2 linked regions of the Canis lupus familiaris genome follow. Each later gene encodes a partner of the first gene's protein in a complex. Links are inferred from orthologs where the notes say so. Each region holds a gene or a part of one and is shown on either strand. Other genes may lie near its edges. The genes, in order: SPAG5 and KNSTRN.

Evidence for each region.
Region 2: SPAG5 (region 1) and KNSTRN share a complex: the UniProt entries of both Homo sapiens proteins name them as parts of the astrin (SPAG5)-kinastrin (SKAP) complex. The link is inferred for Canis lupus familiaris from reciprocal best matches to the Homo sapiens genes SPAG5 and KNSTRN.

Annotation. Positions count from the first base shown.
Region 1 is NC_049230.1:42,764,502-42,777,310, reverse strand, and holds the start of SPAG5 (sperm-associated antigen 5), read left to right. Parts: upstream 1-805; 5' UTR 806-922; coding exon 923-973; intron 974-1,229; coding exon 1,230-1,355; intron 1,356-5,055; coding exon 5,056-6,146; intron 6,147-6,257; coding exon 6,258-6,435; intron 6,436-12,332; coding exon 12,333-12,407; intron 12,408-12,652; coding exon 12,653-12,745; intron 12,746-12,809. UniProt on the Homo sapiens protein: Essential component of the mitotic spindle required for normal chromosome segregation and progression into anaphase. Required for chromosome alignment, normal timing of sister chromatid segregation, and maintenance of spindle pole architecture.
Region 2 is NC_049251.1:7,850,479-7,863,287, reverse strand, and holds the end of KNSTRN (small kinetochore-associated protein), read right to left. Parts: intron 11,664-12,809; coding exon 11,534-11,663; intron 10,613-11,533; coding exon 10,565-10,612; intron 9,274-10,564; coding exon 9,168-9,273; intron 8,952-9,167; coding exon 8,858-8,951; intron 7,059-8,857; coding exon 6,997-7,058; intron 6,242-6,996; coding exon 6,167-6,241; intron 5,459-6,166; coding exon 5,327-5,458; 3' UTR 4,721-5,326; downstream 1-4,720. UniProt on the Homo sapiens protein: Essential component of the mitotic spindle required for faithful chromosome segregation and progression into anaphase.

The sequences.
Region 1 (12,809 bases):
CCTTCCATGGCTAGATTTTCCACGGAGGGGATTCAAGCCGACAGAAGAATATAGTCCTATAGTTGGTGGCGTGGTGGGTTGAAATCTCGACTCTGCCATTTACTACCGGCGGGGCATTGGGCCAATTTTATTAGGGCTTAGGTTCTGGTCTGCAAAAGGGTGGTATTTATACCTACTTCATAGGTCCTTAGGAGGGTTCAAGGAGTTACTATAGAGAAAGCATTTGGAAGTGCCAGGTACATAATAAATGTTCAATACTTGCTAGCTGTCGTTCCCGTAAACTTGTAGCAGGCCCTGAGGTAAGTCCCAGGGAAACACGAGACAGTCCGAAGAGCCTACATTCCAGCTCAAGGCCACCTCAGGCCACCCCGACACAGGGCCTACGCGCGGACCCACCTGGCCTCGTTCGTTACAGGACTTTCCATCACTTCTCCCTTCCGCGCACCCCAAGGCTCTTTCCGGTCTGGCTAAGGCGCCAGGTAACTAAGGCAGACCCGAGGAGAGGCCTCCTCAGGCCAGGGAACCGAGACAACTTTTCTGACAGGGTGTGAGGGTGGCCCACTGCAAGCGGGAGGTAGCTGACTCTCCAGCTGTCTGGGTACCCGCGCCGAGGTGAGGCCGCAAAGCCGGCCTGGCCCGGGGTGTGCTTCCAGCCCCTCAGCCGGCTCCTGCGCCGCGAGTGCTGTTGGTGGGTGTCCGTCCAGCCAGCGGGCGCGCGCCGACCGCCGGGCGGCGGGGGCGTGGCCTGCCCTAGCCCCGCCCCCGCCCGCCGGGCTCGAGCCCGGAGCGGACCGCCAGGCCGACGCGCCCAGGCCCCCGCAGCCAATCGTGAGGCGCGGCGCAGGTTCAAATAAAGACGGCGGGTGAACGTGGCGTCTGCTCTTGGGTGTGAGAGGGGATCGATCGGCGTTCTGTAGTGGAAATGTGGCGGGTGAAAGCGCTGAGCGTTAGCGGGTCGCCTTCGCCCCAACCGGTGAGCGGGAGAGCCTCAGGGACGGAGACAACTGGGCCGGGGTTTCGGGGCGGGGACGCCGGCAACGCCGAGGGTCCCGGAAAGCTGGGCCCAGCCCGGGGAAGGGGCTGTGTATGGAGTCTGTTACTGGTTCTGCCGCTTCGGCGCGACTGGGGTGGAAGTCTGCCCTTCTTCCTATTGCCCCAGGACCCACTTCTTAGGGGAGAAGGGCCGGGCTGGCCCAGCGCAGGCATTCTCACACTCTCTGCTTTCTCAGGGAAAACCAGCTATGAGAACTCCTCTCCGAGAACTTGTCCTGCAGCCCGGTGCCTTCACCACCTCTGGAAAAGGGCCCCCGGTATGCCACTCGCCAACCTCTTCACTGTACAAGCTGGGACTGCAGGTGAGATTCGCCTGGCCGGCTTCTCGATTGGGCTCTTTGCCGAGGTCGAGCGCTCAGAGGAACAGAGGGCCAGGGCTGGAACGTAATTAACCATAATGAAGTCTTCTACCTTAGTGACATCCATTTACAGCTATTCAGGCCAACAGAGAGGTGCCCTAGGGTGGTTAAAGGAAATCCACCGAGAACCTAGACCTCTATTTAGCTGTTAGTTTCTATCACCTCCTCCCTCATTAAACCTTTACCGAACTACTGAGAAATACCATCATTTTGCTTAGTGGTTTTCCCCTAACGTGGGCTCACACGTAGACATCAGTCAGCTGCCATAGTGAGGCAATATTCACATCCATTCCAAGAGTTAATCAGAACTCTTCCTGGGATCAAGTTACCCCACTGAAAGTCAAGGTACTTGGACCATCTTTTAAACTAGCCCATTGTAGAATTGCCCTGTTGAGTTGTGCTTTTGTCAAAAGTCTTGAGAGAAGTAGCCCTGTAGAAACTGCTTTTCAGTTGTTGTAAAAACTTGCCAGAGAAGGAAACTAACTGACCCTTCTAAAAGTTCCTTGAAGAAAAAAAAATTAGATTTTATTTATTTATTTGAGAGAGAGACTGAGAGAGCACAAGCAGGCGGAGGGGCAGAGGAAGAGGAAGAAGCAGAGGCCAGGGGCTGAGCAGGGAGCCCAACATGGGGCTTGATCCCAGAACCTTGGGATCATGACTTGAGCCAAAGGCAGATACTTAACTGACTGAGCCACCCAGATGCCCTGAAGAAATTTCTTTAAGAGCTTAACTGCCTGGAAAATTGTCTTCATAAAGAAATTGCTGTCCTTTTCTCTTTCTGATACAGAGAGCTACCTGTAGTTTGCCATATTTTTCTTCTTGCTCTGGCTTCTAGAAAGCTCAGGGTCAAATTTGATCATCAGATAAAGCTACGATTACTCCTTGAAATAGGAAGATTTGCTTCCTTTTTCTTTTTTGACTGTGATTTTGTATTTCATTAACCGGATCTATTTGTTCTTTTTCATGCAGTCTGAATTATTTTTAATATTTTTATTTTTAGTTATATTCATTTTTTCTTTAGTAGGCTCCACAGCCAATGTAGGGCTTGAAGTCATGACCCCAAGTTCAAGAGTCGCATGCTCCACTGACTAAGCCAGCCCACAGCCCCTTTGCAGTCTGAATTATTTCTTGGAGGAGATAGGATATAAATAAAATAGATTATAGGAGGAAAAAAGAATGTATAAAAACATGATATCCTGAATAACAGATGTATGAAGATGGTGGCCTTTCTTGAAAACAATCTAACACCTACTGGTCAGTAGAACTTTCTGGGAATCACCTGGGTGGGTTAGTTGGATAAGCATCTAACTCTTAGTTTTGGCTCAGGTCATCATCTCAGGGTCCTGTGATTGAGCCCAAGTGGGCTCCTTCCTTAGTGTGAAGTCTGCTTCCCCTCTCCCTCTCTTTTTGCCCCTCACTCTGCTCTCTCTCTCTCACATAAATAAGTAAATCTTGGAAGAAAAAGAGAGATCTTTATGGGATGATGGAAATGTTTGATAACATGGGCTGTCCAATATGGTGGCTATGAGTTATGTGGCTGTTGAGCACTTGAAAGGTAGTTAATGGGACTGAGGAAGTAAATTTTATTTAATTTTAATTTACCATATTAAACCGTACAGCTTAGGTAGAAAAAAAAAAAGTACTTAGTGGGAACTTATCTTCATACACTTGATCTTAGCCAAAAGGCCAAGAAGTGATAGGGAACTGATCTTCATAGAACTTATAAAATTGAACCACAGCCTTTTAATCACAGTAGCAGAATAGAATGGAATTTAGGTCTCCCTTTTGCTACCTTCTGATATAGTCAGCTTCACAGACAAAAAGAATTTTTTCCCCAACAAAATACTATTACTTTTGCTTTTTTAGTTTTTTTTTTTTTAAAGATTTTATTTATTTATTCATGAGAGACAGAGAGAGAGAGAGGCAGAGACACAGGCAGAGGGAGAAGCAGGCTCCATGCAGGGAGTCTGACATGGGACTCGATCCTGGGTCTCCAGGACCACACCCTAGGCCGAAGGCAGTGCTAAACCACTGAGCCACCTGGGCTGCCCTTGCTTTTTAAATTTTGATTAATTATATAATAGATGATCATTGTTTGAAACATTCAAACAATATATAAGAAAGAAGGTATGTTTTTGCCATCTTAGATAACTATCATATTTGAAAATCCTTTCTTGCCTTTCTTTTATTTATTTATTTAATTTACTTTTTGAGAGAGAGAGAGAGAGAGAGAGAGAGAGAGAGAGAAGGAGAGATCGTGCCCATGCATACACATGTGTGAGCGGCAAAGGGAGAGGGAGAGAGAAAATCCTGAGCAGGCTCCATGCCCAACTCAGAGCCCCATGCAGGACTCAATCTCACCACCTTGAGATCACAACCCAAGGGGAAACCAAGAGTTAGTTGCTTAACCAGCTGAGCCACCCAGGTACCCCCTTTCTTACATTTCTTTTGTGAATCTGTGTGTATGTACATACACACTCATCTATATATTATTGTAATATATTTTTATAAAGGCAATTTTTTTCTTTTTTCTCTGCCTCTTCCCTTTTTTTTTTTTTTGTTTCTTGTTTTTTGTTTAGCTCCATGTTTCCTATCTCTCTTACCCCTCTTCTGGAATTAATTCTTTCCACACATGCCTTGCCTTTCCCAAGTAACCAGTCCATTTTAACATCCTGATTTATATCCTTCCATATTTTCCTCTGTGTTCTTTTAATAATATGCAAACATACATTATTATTTTATTGATAAGATCACAACATATGAGTCAGTGCTCATTATTTGACGTTGCCCTTTTTCCTAGGGTCCATGGATCTCTGTGGGCCCCAGCAAAACATTACACTAACTCTGGTCCCCAATTTCTCATCTGTCCCAGAAGAGAGAAAATCTTGGAGCAACTCTAGAGTTTGGCAGAGCTTACCTAGGGATCTCTCCTATCCATTCCTCTAATGGAATTAGGACTGAAGATGAGTGGGGTCACATTTAAGCTACCATCACCTCCAGGATATGGATAGATTATCTCAGCCTTGTTTGTATTGTAGGCTGATTCACTTGCAAGGACATAAGATGGGTTCCCAGCTTTAGTTAAAGTTTAGTTAGGTTTATTTATTTATTTATTTAATTTTATTTTAAAGATTTTATTTATTTATTCATGAGAGACACAGAGAGGCAGGCTCCATGCAGGGAGCCCGACGTGGAACTCAATCCTGGGTCTCCAGGATCAGGCTCTGGGCTGAAGGTGGCGCTAAACTGCTGAGCCACCCAGGCTGCCCTAGTTAGGTTTAGTTTAGGGTTTCTTTAGTGAGAGCAGGGCATAGCCAAGTCTTTACTTAAGCAGAGGTAATGAAAAATCTTCCTTTGGGACACCTGGGTGGCTCAGAGGTTGAGCATCTGCCTTCGGCTCAGGGCATGATCCCAGGATCTGGGATCAAGTCCTGCACCAGGCTCCTTGCATGAAGCCTGCTTCTCCCTTTGCCTATATCTCTGCCTCTCTCTCTCTGTGTGTCTCTCATGAATAAATAAAATCTTGAAAAAAAAGGAAAGAGGAAAATCTTCCCTTGAGTTTAGACAGTATTCTGTACTCATAATTGTAGGTTGGGAACCTGAATTGACTGCCTTGGCCAACTACTTTTGTTTTCTTTGGCAGGAAGATAGCAACACTGCATCTCCACTGGATTTTGTCAATGCCAAGAGGACAGACTCCTCTTCAGAACAGTTCAGCCATCCATCAAAGTGCCTGGAAGCTTGTCATCGTGAATCAGATGAACAGTCTCTAGATTTGAATCCCCAAACCAACTCTACTCCCAGAATATCTGAGGAAGCAGTAGATCCACTGGACAACAGTGTGTTTAAAACCATGTTCCTTGTACCCTCTCCAGTGGGGCAGCAGCAAGATGTCACACTTGAGGCTCATTTAGATACCATGGCAGAGACAAATAACACCTCTCCAGATGAGCCTTTGAACCCAGGAGATTTGCTAAGAGAGGGGGTGGCGGCCTGCCTAGAAGACAGCCTTAAAGAAGTTGTTCCTACTATGCCTGAGAAACCTACATTTCAGCATCCTCCATCCCACATCCTGGAGTATCTACCAAATACCTGTTCTGAGCAACAACCACACTGCTCCAAAGAATGCTTTAGGGGCAGTAGGACTGAGGCTGTGGTTGAGGACTTAGTCCCTTCTGAAAGTAATACCTCCTTGCCTTCCTCCATGTTCTGGCTCTCCCCTTCAACTGACTTAGCAACAGATTTCCTTGTCAGTCATGTGGACCCAGGGGAGGAAATTGTAGAGCACAGATCTGTAGAGGAAAAAGAACTTAGCTTTCCCATACTCCCGGAGGAGGTTGAACTAGGAGATCAAGCACTTGTCTCAAATATGGAAGCTACTCCATTCACATGCCTGACCCCAAATCCAAGAGAAATGGAATCCCAGACAGCTGCAGGCCCAACAGTAGAAGATACTGGTAGGGTTCTCATCTCTGATACAGGGCCTTGGATGTCTCCACTGGCCTGGCTGGAAAAGGATATAAATACTTCAGTCATGCTGGAAAATCTCCGCCAGAGCTTATCTCTTCCCTCTATGCTTCGGGATACTGCGATTAGCACTACCCCTTTCCCTACCTGCTCTGTAGGGACTTGGTTTACTCCCCCAGTAGCACAGGAAAAGAGTACAAACACCTCCCAGACAGGCCCAGCAGGTGTCAAGGATGGTACTTCTGAGACAGAGCACCTCCTATGGGGGTAAGTGTCCCTATATCTTTGTGCCTCCTGGGCCTCATTAGCCTGGACCTGCTGTGCCCCTCTCTTCCCCTTTCTTCTTTCTTCTCTTCTCATATTGTTCTCTTGCCACAGCAACCGTCCTCTAGATCTGACTGCCTTATCTCGACACGACCTGGAAGATAACCTGCTGAACTCTCTTGTCATTCTGGAGGTTCTCTCTCGCCAGCTGCGGGACTGGAAGAGCCAGCTGACTGTCCCTCACTCAGAAGTTCAGGACAGTAGCACACAGACTGGCACATCTCCCGGTGGGGTATGAATGTTCTTCTTCCCAGTGGGCCCTCTTCCTTAGAATATGTGTAAAAGGTGATGATCTGGATAATCCCTTAAAGCTGTGGGTACTCATTTATACCCGTGGGATACATCAAGATTTTCCAAGGGAATATAAGCCAGGAAAGTTTTATTTATTCATGAGAGACACACAGAGAGAGGCAGAGACATAGGTAGAGGGAGACTAGGGTCCTCAAGGGGAACCTGATGTGGGACTTGATTCCAGGACTCCAGGATCATGCCCTAAGCCGAAGGCAGATGCTCAACTGCTGAGCCACCCAGGTGTCCCAAGCCAGGAAAGTTTTATTTTTTTTTATTTTATTTTTTTAAAATATTTTATTTATTTATGATAGACCTAGATAGAGAGAGAGGCAGAGACACAGGCAGAGGGAGAGACAGGCTCCATGCCGGGAGCCCGATGTGGGACTTGATCCCGGGGCTCTAGGATCCCACCCTGGGCCAAAGACAGGCACTAAACTCCTGAGCCACCCAGGGATCCCCAGGAAAGTTTTAAAGGAGTCAGTTTCGGGACACCTGGGTGGCTCAGCGGTTGAGCCATGCAGGCGTCCTCCACATGTACTCTTGACTAATTTCTTTTCTTTCCTACTTCCCCATTCTCAATTGCCCCTGTCCACTTTACTAACAAACAGTGTATTTACTACCTATCTTGAATCTTACATTGTCAAGGAATAGTAATCAAAGGACAATTGAAAATATTTGTGTCCATGCTAAGAAAGCAAATGACTATGATGATTATGTAACATATCATTTTTGCATGCTTTCAATGAAATTGAAGGAAGACTTTAGTTATATTTGTGGATCATTAAACATTTTGACAGAAGTTCAATATGAGATTTTTGGCATGTATCTCCAAAGGAGCGCCTAGAATTGGGTGATGTGCCCTTTTCTTTTCCTCCATTCTTACTTATTCCCATTATTTATTTATTTATTTATTTATTTTTTAAATTTTTTTATTTATTTATGATAGTCACAGAGAGAGAGAGAGAGAGAGAGAGAGAGAGACAGGCAGAGGGAGAAGCAGGCTCCATGCACTGGGAGCCCGATGTGGGACTCGATCCCGGGTCTCCGGGATCATGCCCTGGGCCAAAGGCAGGCGCCAAACCGCTGCGCCACCCAGGGATCCCCTATTCCCATTATTTATATGAGGATTCTCAGTGCTTAAATCTCATAAGAAAGGAAAATCAGCATGGAATTGTTGCTGAGCCATGTCTTAGTATAGGCATTACAGTACTCCACAGAAACATGAACTAATAAGAAGCACCATCCATTTTTTTAATAGATGATTTGCAATAAAATTTTACTGACTAAAATGGATTTCTGTTGTTGCAGATATATTGATTAATAATAATAGATTTTATATTATAGATATATAGAGATACTAAAATTTGTTACATTAGGATAAAATTCTGAGAAGAGTAAAAATACAGGTTCAAGGAGAAAAAGGAATGATAAAAAATTTCTTACTTTTGAAAGATGTATTTATTTGAGAGAGAGAACATGAGCACATGGAGGGGCAGAGGGAGAGGGAAAAGGAAAGAAATGAACTCAGACACCCCACTGAGGGTGGACCCTCACGCAGGGCTTGATCTCACAACCCTGAAATCATGACCTGAGCCAAAGTCAAGTGACTGAGCCATCCAGGGGCCCCAAAATGTCTGACTTTTAGGAAGAGCTTGTTTGTGCATTTTTTAAAAGGATTTATTTATTTGAGAGAGAGAGTGCACACAAGCAGGGGCAGAGGGAAAGGGAGAGAGAATCCTCAAGTGGACTTCCCGCTAAGTGTGGAGCCTGATGCAGGTCTTGATCCCAGGACTCTAAGATCATGACCTGAGCTGAAATAAAGAATTGGACACTTAACCAACTGAGCCACCCAGGAGCCCCTGTTTATACGTTTTTTGATGGTATCAAATAGGTATTAAATCATTATGGTAGGGATCCCTGGGTGGCTCAGCGGTTTGGCGCCTGCCTTTGGCCCGGAGCGTGATCCTTGAGTCCCAGGATCAAGTCCCACGTCAGGCTCCCTGCATGGAGACTGCTTCTCCCTCTGCCTGTGTCTCTGCCTCTTTCTCTCTCTCTATCTCTCATAAATAAATAAATAAAATATTAAAAAAAAATTATGGTATATGTACTATTTATACTGTTGGATATACTTAAGAGTGATTTAACAGTTTTATTTCAAACTATCAAGATTTATTTATTAAAATTTATTTATTTGTTTGAGAGAGAGTGAACGAGCGAGTGAGGGCGCTGAGTGGGGAGCCTGATGCTGGGCTCAATTCCAGGGCCCTGGAATCATGACCCGAGCTGAAGGCAGACATTTAACCAACTAAGCCATTCAGGTGCCCCTCAAACTATCAATATTTATAGTATGGTTTGAAATTACAGCCTTTGTAATAATTTAAACCTCAAATACTCAGTCTTGGGACGCCTGCGTGGCTCAGTGGTTGAGCGTCTGCCTTTAGCTCAAGGTGTGATAGCAGAGTCCCAAGATCTAGTCCTACATTGGCTCCCTCCATGGAGCCTGCTTCTCCCTCTGCCTATGTCTCTGCCTCTCTGTGTCTCTCATGAATAAATAAATAAAACCTTTAAAAAAGAAAACAAAACAGTACTCAGTCTTTTGGGGGTTGCATAGGTGGCTCAGTTGATTAAGCATTTGTCTTTGAGTCAGGTTGTGATTTTGGGTCCTGGGATCAAGCCCCATATCAGGCTTCCTCCTCAGTGGGGAGTCTGCTTCGCCCTCTCCCTCTGCCCCTCTCCCCACTCATGTTAGAGCTCTCTCTCTTGCTCTTTCTCGCAAATAAATTAAAATCTTAAAAAATACATTTAGTCTTTTTTTTAAGAAGATTTTATTTATTTATGAGAGACACAGAGAGAGGCAGAGACGCAGCAGAGGGAGAAGCAGGCTCCACGAGGGGACCCCGATATGAGACTTGATCCCAGGACTCAGGATCGAGTCCCACACCAGGCTCCCTGCAAGGAGCCTGCTTCTCCCTCTGCCTGTGTCTCTGCCTCTCTCTGTGTCTCTCATGAATAAATAACTAAAATCTTTAAAAAGAAAAAAAAAAGATAGATGTCAACCACTGAGCCACCCAGGCACCTCAATATTCAGTCTTTCAAAGTTATTCTGGAGATATGAAAGGAAAACAGTTTATTTTATTTTATTTTTATTTTTATTTTTATTTTTATTTTTATTTTTTTTTTAATTTTTTTTATTTATGATAGTCACACAGAGAGAGAGAGAGAGAGAGAGAGAGGCAGAGACACAGGCAGAGGGAGAAGCAGGCTCCATGCACCGGGAGCCCGACGTGGGATTCGATCCTGGGTCTTCAGGATCGTGCCCTGGGCAAAAGGCAGGCGCCAAACCGCTGCGCCACCCAGGGATCCCAGGAAAACAGTTTAAAGACCACTGTTCTTGGGGCACCTGAGTGGCTTGGAGGTTGAGTGTCTACCTTAGGCTCAGATCATGATCCTGGGGTCCTGGGATAGAGTCCCACTTCGGGTTCCCCATCGGGAGCCTTCTTCTCCCTCTTCCTGCATCTCTGCCTCTCTCTCTGTGTGTGTCTCTTGTGAATAAATAAATAAAATTTTTAGGAAAAAAAAAAAAGACCACTATTCTAGAGGACTCTGGTTGTGATAGCATAAGCTGAGGAAGGAAGGGAATGGTATCCAGGGAGGAATTGAGAGCCTCAGTCCTGTGGCCTTTGAGGTAATGGGTGGCTGCTGCTAAGAGGAGATGGTCTCCAAATGCCCAAAGACCTTGAGTTGAAAATATTCTCAAAATAATGACTATCTTTTGCCAAAATCCTGACCTTGTTCCCCATCCCTGAGTTGACCTCGTACCCTCTTTCCCTGAAGCTCGCCAAATCCCTTTGTCTTTTTTTTTTTTTTTTTTAATTTTTATTTATTTATGATAGTCACACAGAGAGAGAGAGAGAGGCAGAGACATAGGCAGAGGGAGAAGCAGGCTCCATGCACCGGGAGCCCGACGTGGGATTCGATCCCGGGTCTCCAGGATCGCGCCCTGGGCCAAAGGCAGGCGCTAAACCACTGCGCCACCCAGGGATCCCCATCGCCAAATCCCTTTGGATGCCACTGAGGCAGAGCCAAATAGAGGCAATGATAGCACCGGCTGCCATTCTCTATCGCAGTGCCCTGTCCTTGCCGCGTGGCTGCTTCCTTCACACTAATCTCATCACTTGCCTGGCTGCCCAGCTCTGAGCAGCATGCGTCCCCTGTCTGGGGCTCATGGCATCCTCCATGCCTTACTACATGATGCAGTAGGGAATCATGACTGCTCTGTGCGGGAGGGGAACAGTGAACTCTACAAGCTCTGTCCCCTTAAATCCAGACTGCTGTAACATCGTGACTCAGCACTGCTGCTCCCACAGTAGGTTTTGTCTTAGATGATGGCTGCCTTTCAGCAGTAATGATGGCTCCTGCTTCTGTCTCAGAACTTGAGTCTTTGTATGGCTCTGCTGCCTTGAGATCATACTTTTCCACTCAATGTAGCATACTAATTTTTATCTGCACTAAGATAACGAATAGATAGAGAATGGGAAAATGAAAACGACAAAGGAGTATATGGGGAGGTTACTGTGATCAAGAGAATTGCCAATTAAAACAATGAGATGCTATTTTCGTCTACCAAAATGGCAAAAATAAAATAGATAATGCTAGTAAGTATTGTCCTGTTGTTAGTAAGGTATATAAATTGGCTTAACCTTTTTTGCAAGTAATTTAAGTAAGACCCTTAAAGCAATTCAGAATTTCTGACCTAGTAGTTCTACTTCTAGGGACGTATCCTTAGGGTAAAAAAAAAAAAAAAAAAAAAAAAAGCTGCATAAAACTGATAGCTTTTTTTAAAATAATGAAAAAAGTGTAATGAAAAATGATACACCGTAAGATGGGATAATCTGCAACCTAATTTTATGTGCTTATGAAGAGCTTTTAATAACAGGGAAAGGAAGTATAACATAAGTCATGGTTTTTTAAAGAAAGGAAATCAGAGTTCAGATAATCTTTGAGAGGCTTTAAGGTGAGGTAAAGTATCATCAGAAGTAAAAAAATGAGTAGTAGTCCGCTTTGATAGGTCTCCCTAAAGCAGATTTTCCAGTCTCAGGCTATTTCAGTGAGGAGAGTGAATATAAATTCAGGGTTAAATAACATTAGTATAATAAAATTAAGTAGGGGCGCCTGGGTGGCTGAGTTGGTAAGCGGCTGCCTTTGGCTCAGATCATGATCTTAGGGTCCTGGGATTGAGCCCCACATGGGGCTCCCTCCTCAGCGCAGAGTCTGCTTCTCTCTCTCCCTCTGCCCCTCTCCCCACTCATGCTCTCTCTCTGAAATAAAAAAACCTTTAAAAAAAATTGTTGCTCCAGGTGGTGAAATTATTAATGGTTTCTTTTTCCATTTTATTAATTCTGTGTTTCTAAAATTTTACATTAAGCACATTCTTATAGTTTCGTTCTTTTTTTTTTTTTTTTAAGATTCTATTTATTTATTCATAAGAGACAGAGAGGCAGAGACACAGGCAGAGGGAGAAGCAGGCTCCACACTGGGAGCCTGACTTTGGACTCGATCCTGGGTCTCTAGGATCAGGCCCTGGGCCTAAGGCGGCGCTAAACCTCTGAGCCACCCGGGCTGCCCAGTTTCATTCTTCTAATTAGAAAAAAAAGTTATTTTGAAAATGAATTTTTTATGTATCTCAATTTTTTTCTGACTTGGCTTCATCGAGCTTGTGAGCTTTGCTCCTACTGTTAATAGGAGAGGCTCCTGTATCTCAGGGGGTGGGAGGGGGAATGCAGTGCTGGTGGTGCATGTTGTCTATGCAAAAGGCACAGCTTTTGTTTCTCCACCCAGATAAATAAGAAACCTCAGCATCTTCAGGAGAGTCAAGAGATTGGACAGGTTCTGCAGCAGGCCAGGAATGTCATGGTAAGCTTTGATTGACCTTATATTATCTCTGGGTCTCCTGTGAAGATAAAGAATGGAGAATCCTGAGTAGTTAGCAGATGGTGATACTAAGCCATGGTAGTGAAGGGAGGTTTCCAAACCTTTGTTAAGGACATGTCCCTATTGGGAGCTTAGAATTGGGGTCAGTGGTTTCCGTCCCACTGTCCTTGCTTATTTCTTGCTTAGGGACTTTATTTGATCTAGCCTAACCACCTTTCCCTCCACAGCAGTCATGGGTGCTGGTTTCTAAAGAGCTGATATCCTTGCTTCATCTATCTCTGTTGCACTTCGAGGAAGATAAAACTGCCTTGAGTCAGGAGGTAAGCAGCATGAAGGTGAAGGCAGGGGCCTCTGGTGAGATGGAAAAAAAAAAAAAAAAAAAAA
Region 2 (12,809 bases), on another chromosome or scaffold:
TGCAGGACTTGATCCCAGGACCTCCGGAGCACACCCTGAGCTAAACAGACATTCAACTGCTGAGCCACCCAGGTGTCCCTCCTTATGATTTTTTCTTTTTTTTTTTTTTAAGATTTTATTTATTTACTCATGAGAGACACAGAGAGGCAGAGACACAGGCACAAGGGCAGAGGGAGAAACAGGCTCCACGCAGGGAGCCTGACGTGGGACTCGATCCAGGGTCTCCAGGATCGTGCTCTGGGCTGAAGGTGGCGCTAAACCGCTGAGCCACCTGGGCTGCCCTATGAGTTTCTTAATAACTTTTTCTCTAGCTTACTTCGAGAATACAGTATATAATACCTATAACATACAAGATAGGTGTTGGCTGACTATGTTATTGGTAAGATCAAGGTTTGGGGGGAATCAAGTTATATGCAGATATTTAGGGCTCCTGGCTGGCTTAGTCAGTAGAACATGCAACTCTTGACCTCAGGGTCATGAATTCGAGCCCCATACTGGGTGTAGAGATTACTTAAAAATAACTAAAGCTCACCTAATAAAAATTCTAACAGAATTAAAAAAGAAGTTACCTGCAGATTTTCAACTGTATCGCTGGGAGAGGAGTCAGTGTCCTTTACCTCTGCTTTGTTCAAGGGTCAACTATAATTCCTATAGTTTTCTTGTGTTTCAAATCTTCCCTTACTCCATTGCTGTCATGGCCCTAACATTTAATTTTTGTTTTCCTGATGTCCTTGATGCCACTCTCTCAATCCTGTCATCCATCTTTAATACCAAGGCTACATTCATTTTTCTAAAACATTTTGGTGACTGCCTGCTGAAAATTTGTCAGCGATTCCTTATTGCCTTGAAGGTGGTGGTGTCCTATTTGATTCCAAGGTTTGAGAAGTTAAGCAATGCCTAACGTTCTGGTGAGAGGAAAAACTCCCCTAAAAGCCTGATATATAAGGGAAGCCATTTAGAAATTTAGATTTCTAAATCAGCATGTACATAAACTTGATATAAACCAAAAGCCTAACTTACAGCCCACCAAGTGTACACTGTACATCTGTAGCCTAGAGGAAAAACATCTCAGTTGGTTAAGTGTCTGCCTTTGGCTCAGCTCAAGGTCCCAGGGTCCTGGGATCAAGGCCTGCTGCCTCTCCCTGCTACTTGTGATCTCTCACTCTCTTGCGCTCTCTAAAGAAAAAAAAGAAAAAAGGTCTTGATTAATGTACCTACTCCTTGCATTCCTTGACAGTAAAACTTGTGATTCCTGCCTATATGTTAATTTATAATCTTTTGGGGTGCCTGAGGGTTGCTCAGTTGATCAAGTGTCCAACTCTTGATTTCGGCTCAGGTCATGATCTCAGGGTTGTGGGATTGAGCCCTGCCTCAGGCTCTGCAGGGAGACTGCTGGAGATTCTCTCCCTCTGCCTCTCCCCCTGCTCTCTCAAACCTTAAAAAAAATCCATAATCTTTTCAGCTTTTACAAGATGTAAAAAAGGATAACACTGTAAAAACTGTTCATTCTCCGGGTGCCTGGGTGGCTCAGCTGGTTGTCTGCCTTTGAATCAGGTCACGATCCCCTCAGGATTGAGCCCCATGTTGGCTCCCTGCTCAGGGAAGAATCTCCTCCTCTCCTTCCCTTCTCTCTCTCTGACCCTCCTCCCTCCCACCTGCCCTTGCTCTCCTGCTGTTGCTTGCATGGGCTCTCTCAAATGAATAAAAAATCTTTAACAAATAAGCAGTTCATTCTCCAGAACACTTTCTTCAAGAGCATATTTTCCCAGGTAGCTGTCTTAACTTGGGCTCTAATAAAACTCCTTTTATTTTTTAGTGGGGATGGTGGCAGGGGTGGGGGCATAGAGCACAGATGGGGAAGGAGAGACAAGCAGACTGTGCTGAGCCCTGAGCCCAAAATAGGGCTTGGCCTCACAACCCTGAGATCATGACCTGAGCTGAAATCAAGAGGTGGCAGTTTAACCTACTGAGCCACCCAGGCACCCCTCCTTCTTACTTGTAGAGATTCTAAAAAGTTTGTTCATTTTATGTAGACAATTCCATTAGTGAATAATCGTAGTTCTTTAAAAACGAAAGTTTTTTCCTTTAGATTTATGTGTATTATTTTTTCAAATACCTACTAATTGTTGGATCTAACCACTTAAAATAGAACCATTAGTTACTTCTTTGGGGGTTATGTTATGGAGACACTAACTGGGGCTGCATCGTGAACTGAGAAAGTTCGTTAAGCTCTGGCCTAGATGATAAAAACCCACATTTCTTAGCCTGGACTTCAAGGATCTTCAAGACTTCTAACACCAAGTACCTTCCACCCCTGCTATTCCTGGCTCAAATCTTTCTCCAATATTTGTTTGTTGTTTGACCTTGGGTAAATCCACTTAACTTCTGAGCCTATTTTCCCTGGCTGTAAAAAAGAGATAATAGTGCTAACCTTGTGGTGGTTAATGAGGATTACCTGAAAAGTGCAGCAAGGAGTTATGTGTATATGCCTCTATATGACACATACACCATGTATTGGCATAGCGCAAGTGCCCCGTCAAGTGTCAGGTATAGTCCCCTCTCACCCTGAACCTCCAAACAAGCCCCAGTTCCCCTTACTTTCCCAAGACTCATCTGTATATCCCCTCAGCTTTTTATTCTGAAGCATTAAATGATTTTATTTTCTCCCTGGAGGTTCCAATGATACCCCCTCCTTGGGTTTAATTTGCTAGAGCAGCTCACAGGCTCAGAGAAACATTTTATTTTTTAAAAGAGATTTTAATTATTCATGAGAGACCCACAGAAGCAGAGACATAGAGGGAGAAGTAGGCTCCCTGCAGGGAGCCCGATGTGGGACTCAATCCCAGGACCCTGGGATCACTCTCTGAGCTGGAGGCAGATGCTCAACCACTGAGCCACAAAGGTGCCTCAAGAAACAGTTTACTTACGAGATTATCAGTTTACCACACAGGCTGTAATTCAGGAACAGTCAGGCAGAGGAGCTGCAGAGGGGAAGGGAAAGGAAGCTGCCTCGGCCTGAGCTTGTTCCTCTCTCTCCCCAAACCTCCATGTGCTCACCAACGTGGAAAGTTCTCAACTATCTAGCCAGCTTCTTCAAATTGCTCTTCCTTCAAGCTCCAGTCTCGCCCCTTTTCAAACCTTCCCCAACCAAACTAGTCCAGAGTTAATTACTAGAGGACACAACTATGTCACACGCACAACCCACTGTTAATCAAGTGTTGCTGTGTTATTGAACTTATATCACCTGCACATTGTTTTGCCAAATAGACTACAAGCATCTTTGAGATTAAGAATGCCATGCTAGGGATCCCTGGGTGGCGCAGCGGTTTGGCGCCTGCCTTTGGCCTAGGGCGCGATCCTGGAGACCCAGGATCGAGTCCCACATCAGGCTCCCGGTGCATGGAGCCTGCTTCTCCCTCTGCCTGTGTCTCTCATGAATATATAAAATCTTAAAAAAAAAAAAAAAAAAAAAAGAGTGCCATGCTACATTAAAGTTTCCTACAGCATCTGGCAAAGTGGAGGGTACAGATCACCATTTGTTGAGTTTATAGAACATGAGTTCATCTGGCCTCGGTATCAGATTAAGTGCCCAGAACACATGTACAAAAGGCAGATGGAGCTGGAGAGGTCGGAGGAGGGAGAAGGCAAGAGTGCACAAATATCAGCTGGTGGTACAAAGAACCGTGAGGCAAGGCCCCTTGGGAGCCCAGGCCACTAGAGAGCAGGGTTTCCGCACTGGGAAAAATGGGTAACAGGCATTGAGAGTTACATTCCCAGTTGTTAACGAGGGAAGCCTGGCAAGGAGGTCAAGATCCCACAGCTGAGTTCTTCCCCTCTCCTTCCAAGAAGGAAGTAGAACTTTTTCTTTTTTTGGCCAGAAATGCCAATTACAGATTCATTTGAGTAAATAACCTTTTAAGCTATAAACATGCTGAAAATGAGTAGAAGAAAATATTCAGCCATTGTCACTGGTGAGAATTATGTAACTGGGTTTCTCCGATAATTTCTGGGCTATAACCAACTATGCGAAGGTTTGTGTGTGAAGGCAAAGAAATTTAGCCCTGAAAGTCAGGGTGGGGGTGTTACTTGGCCCGATTGGGTGGTAGTCTCAATGCTTAAGGGGGGCTGGGGGGCGGGAAGCCTGGGTGGCTCAGCAGTTTAGCACCTGCTTTTGGCCCAGGGCGTGATCCTTGAGTCTCGGGATCAAGTCCCAGATTGGGCTCCCTGCATGGAGCTTGCTTCTCTCTCTGCCTAGGTCTCTGCCTCTCTCTCTCTCTCTCTCATGAATAAATAAAAACCTTAAAAAAAAAAAAAGGGAAGATAGCCAAAGTCTGCCTGGATGAACGAAGAAATGAAACAGAGCCATGCCTTTGGTAAAGCTGAGGGGAAGCCTGCCATGGACTTCAGCTGACCTAGGACATGGGCCAGGATTGGCTGTGCACATTGCAGCAGAAAACCAGGCTCAAGAATATAGGGAGGACACAGGCAGCTAGTGACACACGCCTGGGGGGTGGAGTCTGGCACCCACTGCTGTCAATAGGGGACAACCTCAGAAGACCAGCTACTGCTCCTGGAAGACAGCAGGGCTGGTGACAGAGAACTTAAGTAGAAGAAAAAATTCTGGGTTAGATTGAGGTTTTGAACTTCTCAACTAGATCAGGTCAAGAGCGTTCAATGGATATTTTTCAGTTAAAAGGCTTATTTTCATTTCTTAATGTTATAGTCAGGATAGTTACAGAAATATTTATTTTACAAGTAGCACTTAAAAAAAAGTGATTTAGATTAAAAGCTCCAAGGTGTATTATTTCAGGTAGGTGTTATTGCTATCTATACCTTCACCCCCATTTATTAAGCCATTTCAAGTAACTTCTTGTTCATTAATTTACAATGAGGTATAGAGCCCAACCAGGATGAGACAGAATGTGTTCCAAGTTCAAGGGGACAGCATGGCTTCTCAGTGATGTCTCCTGTAGAGCCTCTGTGCTCCACTGTACAATTAAGGTTTTCTTCTTACACATCTGAACATGACCTTTGGGATCCTCTGGCTGGCGTTGGTTTAGTCTCCTGATTCTAATGGCATGCTGCTTTGTGGCCTAGAAGGCTGATCCAAGCTTTTGGGGGCCCCTCTTGCCAGCCTCGATAATGTATGTGTGAGGTTCAGGAGAGCCCACCAGTCTAAGGGTGGCGCACGCTTGCCTAAACTGTCCTTAATCCTACGCAGAAAATGTTTCCATTCTGGGGATGGTGAGTCCTAGAAGGTCATGGCCAAGAAGCAGATGTCCTAAGTGGCTTCCCCTGGGGGAGCCATCTGGTCACTTGCTTTTTATCACATTTCTAATAGCTGCTCCATTTCCTCTAGGGCTGCTGTAAAATCATTTACTTGACTGTTACATAATGTCTGCTGTTCTAGGAACCGGGCCCTCTCTTCTTCTTTAATCTTCAACTTTACTTTTAAGGCCTGCATGGAAAGACATTCAAAAAGAACACCCACAAAACTTTGATTCACATGAAAGGCAACACCATTTCAGGACATTATGCTTCTCTTCCCTTGAGAAAGACTACTTGAATGCCAACAGACGTGAGATTTTCTATCTTAGATCTGTTCATCTGTGCTGGGTTTAGGAATGGTCTCTACTACAAACTCCTATATCTAAACAGGAGCCATGAAATTCTCTAGGATTCCGTGCCCTGTCCCATGATTCTTCCAAGCAATCGAAAGCAGTCCAGACTCAAGAATCCAGTTTCCTATTATAGGTTTCCTTGAGATATCAGGTTTCCAAAGCATAGCTTACACACACACACACACACACACACACACACACACGCCCACCTCCTACTTTGAGCAATTTAGCGTTTTGCATATTGCCTCAAGCTCTGTAGAGGTGAGTCTTTGGAACAGAAAATCAGTAATCAACTGAAGTCTGGGAATTTAGTTAATAGTAATGCATCCATGTTGGTTTTTTAATTTTGACAAATAGACTACAATAGTGCATGATGTTAATATTAAGGGCACTGAACTCCATTATCTTTGTAATGCTCCCATAAATCTATTATTACAAAGTAGTTTATCAAAAAGAAATAAATTGGTTAAGAAAAAGTCCTCCAGAGACCCGCCCCCTGTGGCAGGAAATGGTTATCCTGCCTCAGGATGACGTCTGCCTCTCACCTGTAACTCCTCCATCTGCTTTTTGGCTGTTTCATTAAAAAGCTTCAGCTCATCTTGCAATGTTTCTAACAGCAACTGAGAGTAAAGTACAACACAGTAACAAATCTTTACAGATATGTGAAAACTTTCCTCATATAAACTAACCTAACTTCTTCATAAGAAACAAATGTTAATTAGATGATCACCAACAACCCTTCTGTTCAGTCAGGCGTTCACTGAGCATCCCACACGTGCTGGGCTACTAGGCACCCCTGGAGTCCACAGGATGGACAGACCACCCCACATGCATGTGCTCTAGTTACATAGGCAATGTGGGCAAAGCAGCCATCGAAGAGGTGACTGCTAGCCTGTGGGGTCAGAGGAGGGCTTCCATAGTTAGTCTAGGATCCTAAGATGACAACTGACCTTTCTGGGGAAGAGGCCATAAAAGCTCAAAGACAATATCAAACAACTACCTTCCCACTTTGGGGAGCGAACCAAAGAGAAGCTGAATTTAATTCAGGCTGGATCTTTCCATCGTGCGGTTCTCAGTAAATGGGCAAGGGGAGAAATTTGGTAGAGAACTGAAAAGCCAGAAAGTTCTCTATACAGGTCCATCTTATCATGTGTCTTAACGTAGCATATTTTTAACTGAGACCCACTCATATCTGTAAGCACAAAGTCGCCTTCCAAGTAAAGTATGCTATTTTGAGTACACATCCACTGCTTTCTCCCACTATCATGGAAAACAAAGGCTGCTTCCTGGACTTTGCTGAGCACATGGCAGAGACCTTGGTTGGGCAGAGCCCCATGGTCACTTAGCTCTCCCCCACTCACACCCACACCCTCACCATAGAGTCTGTATGATCCGTGGTGGCTTCTTGCTGTGATGCTGAGGTCTCACTGCCTAAAACTGATGCAAATGACAAAGTCAGCCTTGCTTAGGGAACTGCACCTAAGACAAAAACTAAAAACCTCTCCAAAGACAAGAACAGGAATATTTATGAGGGAAACTTCTCAAAGAGTCTGGTCCCTGACTTTCTCCTAAGTTTTCACCTTGGCAGGGGCACCTACACCTTCCCTCAGAGCTTTATTTTACCTCCCTCCTCTCTAGCTTTGGATACGGTCAAAAGTTCATTCTGCTTTCTCTTTAGCTTAGCAGGAAATGTGTCCAAAGGAAATGTATAGGTTGGACTTTTTGGGTTTGTTTATAATACAAACAATTATTTTTATTTTTTAAAGTTTTTTAAACATTTATTTAATTTTAGAGAGGAGAGAGAGCACGTGTACATGTGGAGTGAGGTGAGGGGCAGAGGGAGAAGGAGAGGGAGAACCTTAAGCAGACTCCCTGCTAAACATGGAGCCTAACACGGGGCTTGACCCCAGGAGCCTGAGACACGGTTCAATCCCACCAACCTGAGATCATGAGCTGAGCCAAATCAAGAGTCTGACGCTTAACCAAATGAACAACCCAGAAGCCCGACAAAAAACTTTTTAAAGCTTTTGGGCTTAAAAAAGTTATTTTTGGTAAAATTAGTGCATATGCATTGTAAATTAAAATCATACAAAAACGTATATGGTGACTATAAAGAATATATCCTAAAATCACAGGTTAATCAGCAGCATTCGAAGTCAGTGTTTCTGAATTCAAAGAGGCCTGGGTTCCTTCCTGGGTATTTTCAGGCTCCTCACCTCATTCTGAAGCTCTTGTACAGTCTTTGGGCAATTACTTCTTCTACTCCTCCCTTTGCTACAAACTCTGCTCTCTAGGGACAGGGTCAGGATAGAAATCACATTTAACCATTATGAGTCTGCTGACGAACCAGGTTTAGGAGCCCTTGAAACAATATCATATCTGTCTTTTCCCATCTGGGAAAGTTAGTATTTGCTCTCTGCCTTGAAAGAAATAAAAGATTTCTGGTCTATTTGCAAGATGATACTTGGTGGCACCAAATGAATGGCATAAAATGTTCAGATAGGAGATAATCCTCCCTCCACAATAACTGAAATTCTGTTGCTTAAAGTCAACATCACAAGGGAACAAAGAAAAGCTCCTCCAGGGGCCCCTGGCTGGCTCAGTCAGTAGAGCTTGTGACTCTTGATCTTGAGGTTGTGAGTTTGAGCCCCAGGTTGGGTGCAGAGATTACTTAAAAATAAATCTTAGGGGGCAGCCCTGGTGGCGCAGCGGTTTGGTGCCGCCTGCAGCCCGGGGTGTGATCCTGGAGACCCAGGATCGAGTCCCACATGGGCTCCCTGCATGGAGCCTGCTTCTCCCTCTGTCTGTGTCTCTGTCCCTCCCTCTCTGTGTCTATGAATGAATAAATAAAATCTTAAAAATCAATCAATCAATCTTAGGGGCACCTGGGCGGCTCAGTCAGTTAAGTGTCTGCCTTCGGCTGAGGTCATGATCCCATGGGCTCCACATCAGGCAGGCTCCCTGCTCAGCTGGTGAGTCTGCTTCTCCCTCTCCCCACTCCCTGCTTGTGCTCTTTTGCTCTCTCAGATAAATAAAATCTTTTAAAAATAGTAAAATTAAATCTTAAAAAAAGAACTAAAAGATCCTCCAAATCTTCAGGGCTGTGCTAAGCAACCCTTGCACTAAACCGGTCAGCTAATGGGATGCTGGAATCCTGACACACCGTCCACAATCACCCCAGGAAATGGCAAGTGCACTGACTCCTCCTCCAAAGGCAACTGTGTCCCATCTCTTACCTGGGTTGAGGCCCTTGCTCTCCAAAATTGCCAAACAGTTATCCTGAAACTTCTCCAGCAGCTCCACCTTTTGAGTCAGGTCTTTCAGTTCTCCCTAGTGAGGTGCCATGCAGACAATCAGGCTGGTCCCGCTCTGCACGGGTGGTCTTTCCCGCCCTTGCTCCTTGTACTGCCATGGCCCAAGCCTGGCATCTTCTCTTCCTCCCTCCGGGCACCAGGCAATACAGTCTTCTTCCACCCACGGGGCCATCCCTCGGGATTCCACGCATTACCTAGTGCAGGGGTGACAGAGGTCCGGCAGGTCTCTTACCTGAGTTTCAGTCAACTTCTGGTGTAGCTGCTTGTTGACGGCCTCTAAGAGCTGATTCTTATCCTTGAGCTCTTCCTCTGATTTCTGCTTACTCAGCGGTTTGTAGCTGTAATGGTAAGTGTGCTTATAAGAAGAGGTGGAGGTGTTAAGAAAATGACTTGTGGGGGCAGCCCTGGTGGCGCAGCGGTTTGGCGCTGCCTGCAGCCTGGGGTGTGATCCTGGTGACCCGGGATCAAGTCCCACATCGGGCTCCCTGCATGGAACCTGCTGTGTCTGTGTCTCTGCCTTTCTCTCTCTGTGTCTATGAATAAATAAATACAATCTTTAAAAAAAAAAAAAAAAAAAGAAAATGACTTGTGGGGTCATACACACAGGGGTTCAAATCTTGGCTTCATTATATAGTGGTACAGGACCCTCAGTAAGTCACATAACCTCTTTGAGGCTTTGTTGCCTCATTTCTAGAATTAGGATAATACATTGCATAATATCACTATTGTGAAAAATAAGAGAATACCTGTATAATTCTTAGTACAGCTATTGACACATCATAGTAAATACTTAATAAATAATAGTCATTATCATCATCAATATTAAACCTTCTTTTCAGTGCCCTCAGAGTCTTTCTTGAATAGTACTTTATCTTCAGGACTTTTTTTTTTTTTTAAGATTTTATTTTTTAAGTCATCTCTACACCCAAAGTGGGTCTTGAACTTTGAACCTGGAGATTAAAAGTTGCATGCTGAGGGTACCTGGGTGGCTCAGTTGGTAAAGTGCCTGACTCTTGATTTCAGCTCAGGGTCCTGAGATTGAGCCCCACTGGGGCTCCGTGCTCAGCGAGGAGTCTGCTTGAGATTCTTTCTCCCTCTGCTCCTCCCCCGTGCTCTCTAAAATCAATCAATCTTTTAACACATGCCCAAATGATAGATTTGAGATTAGAACCTATTTCTATAAACTTTCCAGCTTGCATTATTTCTGTCCTCAGAACTACAGAACATCCAAGCTAGCCTCAAACAGAGATGGATCCTTCCCCAGGATTTCTGCCACCACCACAACCACCACCATCTCAGAGTCACTGACCACACAGTGCCTCCTAACCTGAAGGCTCACATTCTATTGATGGCCCCAAGCTGGGTTTGGTTTCCAATTAACAGTGGTCCTGGCATGGAGCCCAAAAAGCTCTTGTCTGGTTCTCAAGATGGGAGCATCACTGATCCTTGCCCTGACAGTGGTTCTCGAACCTGGCTGTGCCTCACCCCTGAAAATTCCACTCAGATTTCTTGGGGTGGCACCCAGACTGTAACACATGAAACAAACCCACGAGTGAGTGTGAGGCACAACCAGGACTGAGATCCACCACCTTAAAATGGTGGCCAACTCTCATTCACCTTGATGCTCACCTCTTTCTGATGTTCCTCCTGATGGCAGGGTCTGCAGCTTTGACCTGCCTAGAGAAGCAGTAACAAAGAAATCAGGATGTTCACTAGTCTTACTGCAGTGATCATTTTGCCATAGATACAAATACCTAATCATTATGTTGTACATCTGAAGCTAATATGATGTTTAAAAAAAACAACAAAGAGGGGCGCCTGGGTGGCTCAGTGGTTGAGCATAGGCCTATGGCTCAGGGCATGATCCCGGAGTCATGCATCGGGCTCCCTGCAGGGAGCCTGCATCTCCCTCTGCCCATGTCTCCGCCTCCCTCTCTCTTTCATGAATAAATCAAATCTTTTTTTTTTTTAATCAAATCTTTAAAAAACAAAACAACAACAAAGAAATCAGACACTTGTAGCATTGTTGTACGTGTGTTATGAACAAGGCAGAACAAAGAGCCTGGTCTTCTGAGGAAAAAAACAGGGATTACATACAATGCAAACAGCCTGAGAAGCTCTGAGAGCCTATGCCCTTTTGTCTCAGCCTAGGACTGTTGAAAAAGGCTTAATAGGGAATGGACTCCAACTCCTGACCCACCTCAACCACCCGACAGACCTGCTGCTCCTCACAATGGTGTGGCTATCTCATGTCAACCTGGCTCACAAGGGAACTGAGTAGAGGGACACACACTAGCTTGGGCAGGACTACGCTCAGACTGGCAATCTAAGCTAACGGGCAGCCCCATCCACCCTGACCACCAAGTAGGGCTGGTGTTTGGCCTTAATACTGCCATTTGCACACTCAGAGCAAGAGGTGAGAGAAGAAAGTCCCTGTTATCTTGACCCTCACTAGGCCTCTTCAGAACTGGTCAACACAGAGGGTTCTGACACACAACTGACTCGGGCTGCCCTGTGCTCTCAAGACTCCTATTTTCTAAACCTGACAATGAGCAATTTCTAGTAAGATGTTCTCCTCGGATACCAACAATCTCTCACCCATTCTCTCGTCTTGGCTTGACGATTTTTGTAACATCATTTTCTGAACCTCCTGAATGAAATCTGGAAGCATCCACTTCTTTGGATTTAACAGGTAAGAGGCTCTTAGAAGTGGCTCGAGTTTGTGTGTCTGCAAAGGAAAACAAGTGGGTGAAATCTCAAGCATTGTGACCCAACTGCTGCAACTAACCGTTCCGTTCCGGGTTGTCAGAACCCTGTACTTTCACGCTGGCCCATCTCAGTTTGTGAAGACTCATTCAGAAGAACACGGCTTCTAGCCTAATTGGAGATGGAAACCAAAATTCTTCAAAAATGATGGTGCAATATATTTGAGGATAGCTGAGAACTTGAGGATTCAGAAAACTGAATGGCCAGGTGGGTATAGGTGGGAAAGTGAATGTTGGTACAAGCAGAGAGCTAAATGGGAGGCAGCATGGCCATCAGCAGGGCAGCACCCAGCTGGAGTCCTTCTTCAGCAGCAGCGGAACCCACTGGAACCCACCGGAACCCACCCACCAGGCGAAGGTCCTCGCATTCTGGCACCAGGCACTCCACACCCTTTCCAAGGCTGCACTCAAGCTGCTGCAAGGTTCTCCTGTTTTTTTTTTTTTTTAAAGATTTTATTTATTCATTCATTCATTCATTCATTCATGACAGAGAGAGAGAGGCAGAGACACATGCAGAGGGAGAAGCAGGCTCCATGCAGGGAGCCCGACGTGGGACTCAATCCGGGTCTCTAGGATCACACCCCAGGCTGAAGGCAGCACTAAACCGCTGAGCCACCAGGGCTGCCCACAGGTCCTCTTTTAACTGTTAAGTTATTTTGACTGGACAGTCTCCCTAAATACCTAAGAGATGTCTTTGTGTCCCCAGTGCCTCGCAGAGTATCTGGCAGAGTCACAGCGGTTCAGCACCCACTTGTTGAGTAAATGGAATGCTTCACAGCTCCCCGGGTTACTTCGCAGACCATTTCTAAATCATCTCCTCTAGTCTTCTTTCCTTGCCTTTTTTTTTCTTTCCCTTTTCCACGCTGATTGCCTTTACTGCCAGCCCTTTTAATTTGTTTGTTATTAAGTCCAGAGCTTCCCTATTTGGCATTCTGTTTTGATCTTGCTAGGGTAACTGCCAGATAAGCTGAGAAATGGCCCTGCCAGGACACTCTTCTTCCCTAGTCCTTATGCCAGCCCTCTACCACACTGTCTTTCTACCATGTATATTCCATGGCAAATTCAAGGAACTTGTTCTGGAGTCATGTACCGCTCCTCCATTGGCCACC